Neurospora crassa OR74A: one gene and its partner. The protein of the gene in region 1 purifies or fractionates together with the protein of each later gene. This does not show direct contact. Links are inferred from orthologs where the notes say so. Each region holds a gene or a part of one and is shown in the gene's direction. Other genes may lie near its edges.

Region 1 (5,872 bases):
TCCACGACACTGGCCACTACCCTCACCAAAGCGAAATCGGCCATGAAACCAATGATCACTGAACGGATAGACATGGTCTTGTGGGGTCCAGTGGCTGTTGGAAAATCGACTCCGTCCCCAATTTCGAACACTGCCGTTCTTCACAGCCCTCGTCCTCGTGGGTTGTGCCTTGCATTAACGGTAGTCAGGCAGCGACCTTCCCCTTCGAGGTACCTCAGTTGTGCGACGAGGCCGCTCGCTTGGTGGTGTGACCGCCAGTGCCGATACCACGGCTATGTGCCTAGGCTGTCATTCGTCGGAGGCGTTGTTGAAGCCATCTAAGCTTGCACCCTTGTGTAACAAGGCTACTCGATATCATAGGACACTAGGTGCCGGATCGTGGTTTGTCTTACTTCAGCCTCCTCGTCTAACTTTGCACGATACCAGCATATGCAATTGAAACATTGGGCTCTGTTTTCAAGGCTTGCGGATGCTTTTGCACTCTCAAGATCTTTCGTTCCTTTTCGCAAGGCTCGCGATACCGTCTTGTTCTGTCCTGGTGCATTATCCAGATGCGAACCCGGGCCCCCCAAAAAAAAAAAAAAAAAAAAAAAAAAAAAAAAAAAAAAAAAAAAAAAAAAAAAATTTCTCTGGAACTAGGCATTGTTGCTGGAGTGACCAAGATCTATTTCTTGGCTATTACGAACTTCAAGATCGGGTCGAGAACACTGTTGCGTTTGACTTGGAAATATTTGCTGACTACATAGCAGGAGACATCACGACACATCTATCACCTCGAAAGAGCGAAACCATTGATTCTCGACCATTCTTTGAAGGGTACAGCGGGTGAAAGTCATCCCGTGCGTAGCTCCGGATGGTGACTTGCTCATGCAGACAAGATAAACCGCCGCTTACCGCTCCTTCTCACAATGACTGTTCGGCATGAGACGGGAACCTCAAGCCAGACCTGTTCCGGGCTCAACAGAGGATCAGACGGCTACAAAGGCCGGGAAGCAACCGGAGCCACCCGACAATTCGATTGGAGGACCCGCTGGGCTTGTGTCAGTCCTTCTCACGGCGCCTCACCAAAGTATGAGGCCCATTCCCGTTTACGGCTGCAGTCACAGCACACTACTGTAACGAACCGCGTCATCCCGAAAGACGATCCAGTCTACCGGGAACCGATTACCGTGTCTACATGATGGAGCTGTACGACATGGACCACAACAGCACAGCTCGTTGACGATAAGGGTGGTTTTCGTCCCGCCTTCGAAGAAATCGTACGACCAGAACCGCAGGAGAGAGTTGATGCTGTATGAGGCTAATGGCAAACGGCATAAAGTTGATGACCATATGTAACTTGCCATAGCCATGTCTGCAAGCGGGCAATGACGGCTCAAGTGAACAGTCGGGAAGTCGAAACAACAAACACAACACATTTCACGGTAGGATCCCGATGGGATCCCGATGGTGATGGGCTCTAGTCGGGTACGAAAACCACGGGAAAATCAAGGAACCAAAGGATGTATTCAGCCGTTGCAGTTGTTGAGCGGAACCTCAAACCTGACTGCCGTGAGAAGAACGGATGTGGGGCAGTAATCGCCGGCTAGGAGCAACGTCTATCGGACCGTTGAAAGTTGATGTAGCATGTGAACGACGCAGCAGGGGAGACAATGATCATGGGGAGCTCAGGATGGCACACTCTGGCTCGCGCTTGGAGCCGTCGAGAATCATCACCCGACTGGGGTCGGTTTTGCTCGAGTACTTGGGCGCTTAGGCTCATAAGTAACATTGGTACCAGTGAAGCTGCGAAAGCCCTGCGTTGGCTTATGGGTTAGAGACTCCAAAGAGTGGATCGAGTAACTTTTAGACACTCGTGGCTTCTTTCCATTTTACACTTTGGTAACAATCACTTTGTTTCACCCATGTCGTCCACTTAACAGGACCCAACAGATGTTGTCCTATGGTCATACTTCAACTGCTAACACGAAGCATAGCACAACTACGAAGTATGAACTTGTAATTTAAAGGCTGGGAGGCACACATGTATGTGAGGTACACACGCTAGTGACCAACAACACTACTGAGGTTTCGGCCGCCTTGAGGTTGTTGTTCTTTCTCTTCTCGTTTTCGGGGCAACACAACGTGGGCTTGCTCGCTGAGGATCAAAGGCCATGCGGAGTACCGAGGTCTTGAAGACACTGTCGAGCCAGACATGGACGCTGGTCAAGTTGAAAAGGCCGAGAGGTACAAGTTAGAAGAGATCAAGCATGTGCAAATTGACCTGGAATGTATGTACAATCTTCGTGGAAGTTTTGTTATCGATAGTAAATGTAACCTGGAAACTACACTGAGTGGAAGTCTGGAGGGCCGAGGTCTGGTGTAGGTGGTTAGATACTGGAAATTACACGCTTCTTGATGGCAATTATGGGTAATGACGGTATCAGGTACAGCCCCGCTTGTATCAATTAAGCCCCCTGCCTGAAGCAAGGGGTTTAGCGCGACTCGCGTGTCGTCGACGCGTTTTCCACTTAAAATCGTATCGTTTCGTTTTGTCACTTTTCCATGGCGGCTCCGCAAGGTGAAGCGCATGCGCCAAAACAAAACATCGGCGACTCTTTCATTCTTCTCCAGCAATCTTTTTGGACGACAAGAACGGAGGCCACAACGACTAGCCTTACTCCGCGTCCGAACCCGTGTTACCTTTGTTTCCCGTCTGTGACACTGGCTTGAAGAGTTGTTCTTTGGATTAATACCTTCAAGATGGATTACAACGCCCTCCGCGACGAGGCCGTACGCGACCGTGTGCGCCAGGCCCAGGAGTTCCTCGATCCTCGTACGTCGAAGCTTGAAGCTGATGCTGGCCCTTTGTTCACGACCGAAGCATGGAACGAAACTAATGGCGAACCTTATCTACAGATGACCAGCACCAGCGAAGCTACAGACCAGACATTGTGTTGATGCTCCAGAAGAACCAGAGGAGACTCGTCGTCAATATCGATCATGTCCGCGATCACAGCTCTGAGGTAGCCGAGGGTCTACTTACCGATCCCTTCAACTGGACCCTCGCCTTCAACCATGCGCTCAAGACTATCGTCAGCACCGTCCCCCAGGCCCGCCCCGATCAAATAGACCCCGACGTCTTATACTATTGTGCCTGGGCTGGCAGCTTTGGTCTACACACCTGCAACCCCAGGACACTGTCCTCCCAACACCTCAACAATATGGTCTCGATCGAGGGCATCGTAACAAGGACGTCCCTGATCCGCCCCAAGGTTGTCAAGAGTGTACACTACAGCGAAGCCAAGAAGACATTCCACTACCGCGAGTACCGCGACCAGACCATGACGAACGGCATTGTCACCAACAGCGTCTACCCGCGCGAAGACGAGGAGGGCAACCCGCTCGAGACCGAATACGGCTTTTCGACCTACCGCGATCACCAGACCATTTCCATCCAGGAAATGCCGGAGAGGGCACCTGCTGGTCAGCTGCCCCGAGGCGTCGATGTGATTCTCGACGATGACCTGGTAGACCGCGTCAAGCCTGGCGACCGTATCCAGCTCGTCGGTATTTTCCGGACGTTGGGTAACAGAAACACAAACCACAATAGCGCCCTGTTCAAGACGGTCATTCTGGCCAACAACATCGTCCTGCTGTCCTCCAAGTCGGGTGGTGGTGTGGCTACAGCTACCATTACCGACACCGATATTCGCAATATCAACAAGATTTCCAAGAAGCCAAAAGTTTTCGAGTTGCTTTCACAGTCACTGGCTCCCAGTATCTACGGACATGACTACATCAAGAAGGCTATCCTGCTTATGCTGCTGGGCGGCATGGAGAAGAACCTGGAGAACGGTACACATTTGAGAGGTGACATCAACATCCTGATGGTCGGTGATCCTTCCACCGCCAAGTCGCAGCTCCTTCGTTTCGTCCTCAACACTGCTCCATTGGCTATTGCCACGACTGGTCGTGGTTCTTCCGGTGTTGGTTTGACTGCTGCTGTCACATCCGATAAGGAGACTGGCGAGCGTCGTCTGGAGGCTGGTGCCATGGTTATGGCTGACCGTGGCGTCGTCTGTATTGATGAGTTCGACAAGATGTCAGACATCGATCGTGTTGCCATCCACGAAGTCATGGAACAGCAAACTGTTACCATTGCCAAGGCCGGTATTCACACCTCCCTTAACGCCCGTTGCAGTGTTATCGCCGCGGCCAACCCTATCTTTGGACAGTACGACACCCACAAGGATCCTCACAAGAACATCGCCTTGCCCGACTCCCTCCTGTCGCGTTTCGATCTTCTCTTCGTAGTCACCGACGACATCGAGGACACCCGTGACCGACAGGTATCCGAGCACGTCCTTCGCATGCACCGCTACCGCCAACCCGGCACCGAGGAGGGTGCTCCTGTGCGCGAGAACGCCGGTCAGGCCCTCAACGTCGCCCTCAACGGGCAATCCGAGTCCCAAAAGCCCACCGAGATGTGGGAGAAGTACGACGCCATGCTGCATGCCGGAATCAAGGTGCCCAGCGGCCGCGGGTCTGCCAACAAGAAGCCCGAGATCCTCAGTATCCCCTTCATGAAGAAGTATATTCAATACGCCAAAACGCGCATCAAGCCGGTACTGACGCAGGAGGCTTCCGACCGCATTGCTGACATCTACGTGGGCCTGCGCAACGACGACATGGAGGGCAACCAGCGCAAGACGTCGCCCATGACGGTCCGTACGCTCGAGACGCTCATCCGTCTGGCCACCGCCCACGCCAAGGCACGCCTGTCCAACCGCGTCGAGGAGCGTGACGCCGCCGCTGCCGAGTCCATCCTCCGCTTTGCCCTTTTCAAGGAGGTGGTCCAGGACGAGTCGCGCAAGAAGCGCAGAAAGACCCGACCCGCCGAGGGCGAGGATGGCATGTCCTCCGACTCTGACGACTCTGATGACGATGACGACGACGTGGCAACTCAAACCACCACAGCCCGCTCCAGCGCTGCCAGAGCTTCTCGCGCTTCCCGCGCTTCCCAACGCGCCAGCCGACGCACTCCCGCCAATGGCGCTTCCTCCTCCTCCGCAGCAAACGCCAACGGCACTCCCAGAGAGGAAGAAGAAACCCAAGGAGCAGAAGAAGAGGAAGAAGACATCTACGACGCCACCCCGCGCCGCTCAACAAGATCTGCTCGCACAACCGGCGACTCACAACCATCCTTCGCCTCTTCCCTTCCCGCCTCGCAACTTCGCTCCACTCGCTCCCAACGATCATCTCGTCGCACCGCTCAGAACCAAGACGACGAAGAAGAACTCGCCTCCGGAGCCGCCAACCTCAACGTCGACGAAGACGAAGACGAAGAAATGGACGTTGACGGCGAAGCCGCCCCAGAAAACCAAGAAGAGGAAGAGGAGGAAGAAGAGGAAGAAGAAGATGAGGAGCCAGCACCAATAAGCGAGCACCGTCTTGACGTTTTCCGTCGGGCGCTCGGTCCGTTGTTGAACTCGGGACTTTTCGAGGACGACGCTGCGGATGTGGATGAGCTGATCAAGGCTGTTAATGAGAAGATTCCCGGAGGCAGGAGAGGCGGTGAACAAAAGTTTGAGAAGGAGGAGGCGCTGCAGGCGTTGAGGGAGATGACGGAACGGAATCAGTTGATGTGAGTTACCCTTCGCTTGATATTGTGAGGTGTGATGATGTCGAGGAATGATGCTAACGCTGTTTGATGATAGGTATACCGATGGTCAGCTAGTGTACAAAATCTAGTCTGGTGGACTGGAAAGGTTAAAAAACCGAATTGATGCTGTGTCTAGGAAACAGGTAGAGATGATTTTAGGTGGGTCATAGATATGGATGAGAAAAGTACTACGGCGGAAATGGTCTAGACAGAGAGACATGCCATAAA
Region 2 (4,799 bases), on another chromosome or scaffold:
ATGCGCACAGCGTTCAACCCTAAGGATAATAAGCAGGAGATTCTCGCGGTTAGCGGGAGAGTCTACCTTGATGTGTCGCTCAGTGACACCACTCCCCCAGACAAGCTTGCTTCTCGTAGTTTCACCGCTGTTAGACCTTACGGTAGCGCATTTCCTATCGGCTTCGAGACGCTTGCCAAGGAAAGAAACAGAGGTGTGCTCAAGCTCTTCAAGCAGGAACACGAGATCTTGAATTTCTTGCTCGCACAGATCGATGTTGTCGATCCAGACGTTATCCTTGGCCACCAGCTAGAAGGTGTTGACTACAGCATCTTGCTGAACCGGCTGCACGAGAAAAAGACACATCAATGGTCTCGTTTGGGCAGACTCAGGCGCTCTCAGTGGCCCTCGTCCATTGTTAAGATGGGTGGCAATGTATTTGCCGAACGTCAGATAATGTCTGGCCGTCTGCTATGCGATCTTGCTAACGATGCCGGTAAATCAGTAATGACCAAGTGCCAGACCTGGTCCTTGACCGAGATGTGCAGTCTGTATCTGGGAGGCGAAAGTCGTAGGAGGGATATCGACAACGAAGTCGCCCTGAAGACGTGGGCTAACGCTGACAAACATGGTTTGATGGACTACATCTCCCACGCCGAGACTGACACTTACTTCATCGCGGCTCTTGCACTCAGGACTCAAATTCTTCCTCTTACCAAGGTTCTCACCAACCTGGCTGGTAACTCGTGGGCAAGAACACTTACCGGTACGCGTGCTGAGCGGAACGAGTACATTTTGCTTCACGAATTCCACCGCAACAAATATGTCGTCCCGGACAAGCAGACCTTCAAGGGTCGGCAACGCATCGAGGAGGAAAACGCAGAAGAGGAAGGCGGAGAAGGAGGAAAGAAGAAGGACAAATACAAGGGTGGTTTGGTTTTCGAGCCAGAAAAGGGTCTTTATGACAAGTTCGTTCTCGTCATGGACTTCAACTCCCTTTACCCTTCCATCATCCAAGAGTACAACATTTGCTTTACCACAGTTGATCGAACATCACTGGTAAGTCAGGGTCCTTCCTCCGTTGACGTCACAAGCTAATGCAAAGTAGTCCGAGGACGATGATGCTGTTCCCGAGGTTCCCAAGGAGCAGGCGCAGGGCATTCTTCCCAAGCTGATTGCCACACTCGTTAGCCGACGTAGGCAGGTCAAGTCTCTGATGAAAGACAAGAATGCCACACCTGAAGAGCTCGCCACCTGGGATATCAAGCAGCTCGCCTTGAAGTTGACTGCCAACTCCATGTACGGCTGTCTTGGTTATACCAAGTCGCGCTTCTACGCCCGTCCTCTTGCCGTGCTCACCACCTATAAGGGTCGTGAGATTCTGCGGAGCACCAAAGAATTGGCGGAGAGCAACTCGCTCCAGGTCATCTACGGTGACACGGATTCCGTCATGATCAACGCGAACAAGGACAACGTTGCTGAAGCCCTGCGTGTCGGCCACGAGTTCAAGAAGGCCGTCAACGAGCGGTACCGCCTCCTTGAGATTGATATCGACAACGTCTTCCGGCGCATCCTCCTCCAAGCCAAGAAGAAGTATGCTGCCATCAACATGGTCGAGGTCAACGGCAAGTGGGTTGAGAAAATGGAGGTCAAAGGTCTCGATATGAAGCGTCGTGAATACTGCGGGCTATCCAAGGAGATCTCCAACCGTATCCTCACCGAGATCCTCTCGGGAGACGATACTGAGGTGTCTGTCCAACGCATCCACGAGTACCTTCGTGACATATCTGCCAAGATGCGCGAGGGTGCCGTCCCTGTGCAAAAGTACATCATCTCGACTCAGCTTGGTAAGGCGCCCAAGGATTATCCCAATGCCGACTCGATGCCGCAGGTCCAAGTCGCCCTTCGCGAGTTGGCCAAGGGCAAGACCATCCGTAAGGGCGACGTCATCTCGTACATCATCACAGGCGACAGCAAGACCACCTCAGAAGCCGTCGCCAAGCGTGCCTACACCCCTCAAGACGTGCTCAAGGCCGAATCTGGCCTGTCTCCGGACGTAGAATGGTACATCGGCAAGCAAATATTCCCTCCAGTCGAGCGTCTCTGCGCCAACATTGTCGGCACGTCGACCTCCCAACTCGCAGAAAACCTCGGTCTCGACGTCCGCCGCTACTCTTCCAACACCAACAACAACTCCTCAGGCCCACAAGACCTCGAAATCCACCCTCTCGAGTCCCAAATCCCCGACTCCCTACGCTTCCAGTCCTGTGCGCGCCTCTCCCTCCGCTGTCGCAAGTGCAAAACCTCGCACCCCTTCGAGGGCCTCGCTTCCCCATCATCCGTCAACAACGTCACGCCCTCCGGCATCCAATGCCCCTCATGCCAATACGTCCTCCCCATGCTCAGCGTCGTCGCCCAAGTTGAAGCCGCCGTCCGCGCCCAAACAGCACGCTACTACGAAGGCTGGCTCGTCTGCGACGACTCCTCCTGCGGCAACCGCACGCGCCAGATCTCCGTTTATGGCACCCGCTGTCTCGGATCCAAGGGTCTGGCGCGCGGCGAGTGTGGCGGCCGGATGCGGTATGAGTACACGGAACGGGACATCTACAACCAGCTGGTGTACTTTGCTAGTCTGTGGGACGTGGATAAGGCGAAGAGTAAGGCCAAGGAGAACAATGATGAAGATGTGGATGCTGCTAAGCTAAGTGCAGAGGAGAAGGAGAGGGTCGCCATCATGGCGGAACATAATCGTGTTAGGTTTGGTACGGTCAAGGGCGTGGTGGAAAAGTATTTGGATAAATGTGGACGGAGATGGGTGGCGATGGATACGCTTTTTGCCAAGTTGGGGTTTGTTCCCCAGTAAGTGGGCATGGACAGGAAAGCTGGATGGATGGGTATGTGTGAAAACGGGTACTAAAGTTGAGCGGATGGTTTCCCTCCAGTGTTCACATTGTCGACATCGGCGTTAAGGATTGGGCTTGTTTCCGAACTACGGGCTTCTTTTCTTGAATGATTATAACTTTTTTTTCGATGCCCTACGTTTGCAACTATTGTCAACCCGTCAACCCCTTTATATATCGTCATGTAACCAGTCTAGGATGGTGTTGGCCCGATCTACAATTTTCTTTGGTATATCTCACTCCCACTCCCAGGGCAGGGATACATCCCCGACCCTCTCGCCTCAACCCTAATCCCCACCCACATCCACAACTACCACATTACAGCCTTATAGTCCATACACCCAAACCAAACATACAATAATAGGCAAGATGGCCGAGCGGTCTAAGGCGCCACGTTAAGGTCAACCCTTAATCCGAGTGAAAATCTCAGTTCCGTGGTCCGAAAGGGCGTGGGTTCGAATCCCACTCTTGTCAGCACATCATGTATACCCCCACCAAGCTCAGGTGGATTTCACTTTTTCAGTATTCTTTTTTTCGCCTTTTTTTCTTATCCTGCCTTTTCCTCTCGGTTCTCGTTTGGGGGTCAATATGATAGAGACATAATATGAATCTAGGCCAGGCTAAGATAAACAAGATGCAAGAAAGATCTCCATATGCTTAATAGCCTTGTAAGACTCCCTTGATATAAACGCCTCCGACGGGACTGCTAAATAAAAGTACAGAGTTGATAGCCGACCATTCTCGATGGATGTGTGTTGAATCATTCCCGCTGCATGAGTAAAGATAAATTGAAATGACTTCCAAGAGACTCATTCCGTTGTTGCCCTTGATGTGATGTGATGTATCAATGACGAAATCACCTAACACCACCCCATCTCCCCCTGGAAGCAGCCGACTTATTCAGCGCCAACCTCCTCCCAATGTTTCCAAAGCACACGCAACTGCAAAACAGCACACTGAGCATCCAAATACCCGTCTCAATGACGGCCGCGTTTTCGCTGCTCGCCCCTCCCATACCGCTCATCCTCGCCGCTGCTGCGCTCCGAGGCAACCCGGATGTAGTCCCATTAAGCACGTCCATCGCAGGTTGCCCGCTCGTCGTCAGAAAATGATGGTCGTGATACCCAGCTCCAGCCACGGGTGCAGGCATCATATCGGGGTTACCCAACCCCATCAGGATGGCGGATCCCGTAACGCCCACGGCGGCACTGAGAAGGAACCCGGGTTTGGAGCGGTCGATCAGGTACCACAGGAACGGATTCGCAAGCGCCAGGGTGATGGATACTTGCATGGTCGAGGCCCAAGGTAGACGGCGGATGGCGAAGACGATGCCGACAAAGGCGCCGATGCTGCGGACGACGAGGGGCCAGTCCGCTTCGGGCGGGCTGGTGACGCCTCCGCTGTTGGAATCCGTCTCAACGGGGAGGGTGGTGGTGACTGGTGTCTTCCTTGGAAAAGTCCTTGATGACGATGGAGGAGCTTGTTGCAACAGAGCGGCGGCGGCCTCTGCAGCAGCAGCAGCTCGTCGCCTCTCCTTCTCTTTCTTGGTCATCCTAGTCCTCTTTCCAAAGGCTTCCTCCCATACTTGATCGAACCAGGGAAGTAGCCTGCCCAACACTACGCCGGCCGCTCCCCAGAAGGTGAGGTACCGCCAGCCGTAGCCGCCCGTGACGCTATCTCCGTTGGGCAAGCGAGTCACGAGCACGCCGTAGCCTGCGCCGAGAGCGAAGAGGAGAGTTGTCCGGAGTAATGACCAGAGCAGGCCCATTACTGGGTTGCCATTGCCGCTGTTGATATCTGATGATGAGGGTTCGCCTCTGAGGGGGGGGATGGTAGATGTTATGGAGGAAACTCGTCGTTGGCGCTTGGGGCGGAGGGTGATGGTCTCCTGGTAGTTCTCGTCCTCGTCCTCATCATTTT

Evidence for each region. Proteins that work in one complex are often made in the same cells at the same time.
Region 2: the proteins of NCU08009 (region 1) and NCU07870 purify together in Saccharomyces cerevisiae (affinity purification with western blotting; 3 studies listed by BioGRID). This does not show direct contact. The link is inferred for Neurospora crassa OR74A from reciprocal best matches to the Saccharomyces cerevisiae genes MCM3 and POL1.

What each region holds. Positions count from the first base shown.
Region 1 is NC_026504.1:3,901,345-3,907,216, reverse strand, and holds the start of NCU08009 (DNA replication licensing factor mcm3), read left to right. Parts: upstream 1-2,512; 5' UTR 2,513-2,742; coding exon 2,743-2,815; intron 2,816-2,898; coding exon 2,899-5,626; intron 5,627-5,699; coding exon 5,700-5,733; 3' UTR 5,734-5,872. Other genes in the region: NCU16827 (hypothetical protein), read right to left, coding at 1,101-1,418. UniProt on the Saccharomyces cerevisiae protein: Acts as a component of the MCM2-7 complex (MCM complex) which is the putative replicative helicase essential for 'once per cell cycle' DNA replication initiation and elongation in eukaryotic cells.
Region 2 is NC_026503.1:1,178,510-1,183,308, reverse strand, and holds the end of NCU07870 (DNA polymerase alpha catalytic subunit), read left to right. Parts: coding exon 1-1,038; intron 1,039-1,087; coding exon 1,088-2,842; 3' UTR 2,843-3,243; downstream 3,244-4,799. Other genes in the region: NCU07869 (INSIG domain-containing protein), read right to left, coding at 3,736-4,799. UniProt on the Saccharomyces cerevisiae protein: Catalytic component of DNA polymerase alpha, which in complex with DNA primase (DNA polymerase alpha:primase) constitutes a replicative polymerase. POL1 has a role in promoting telomere replication during interaction with CDC13.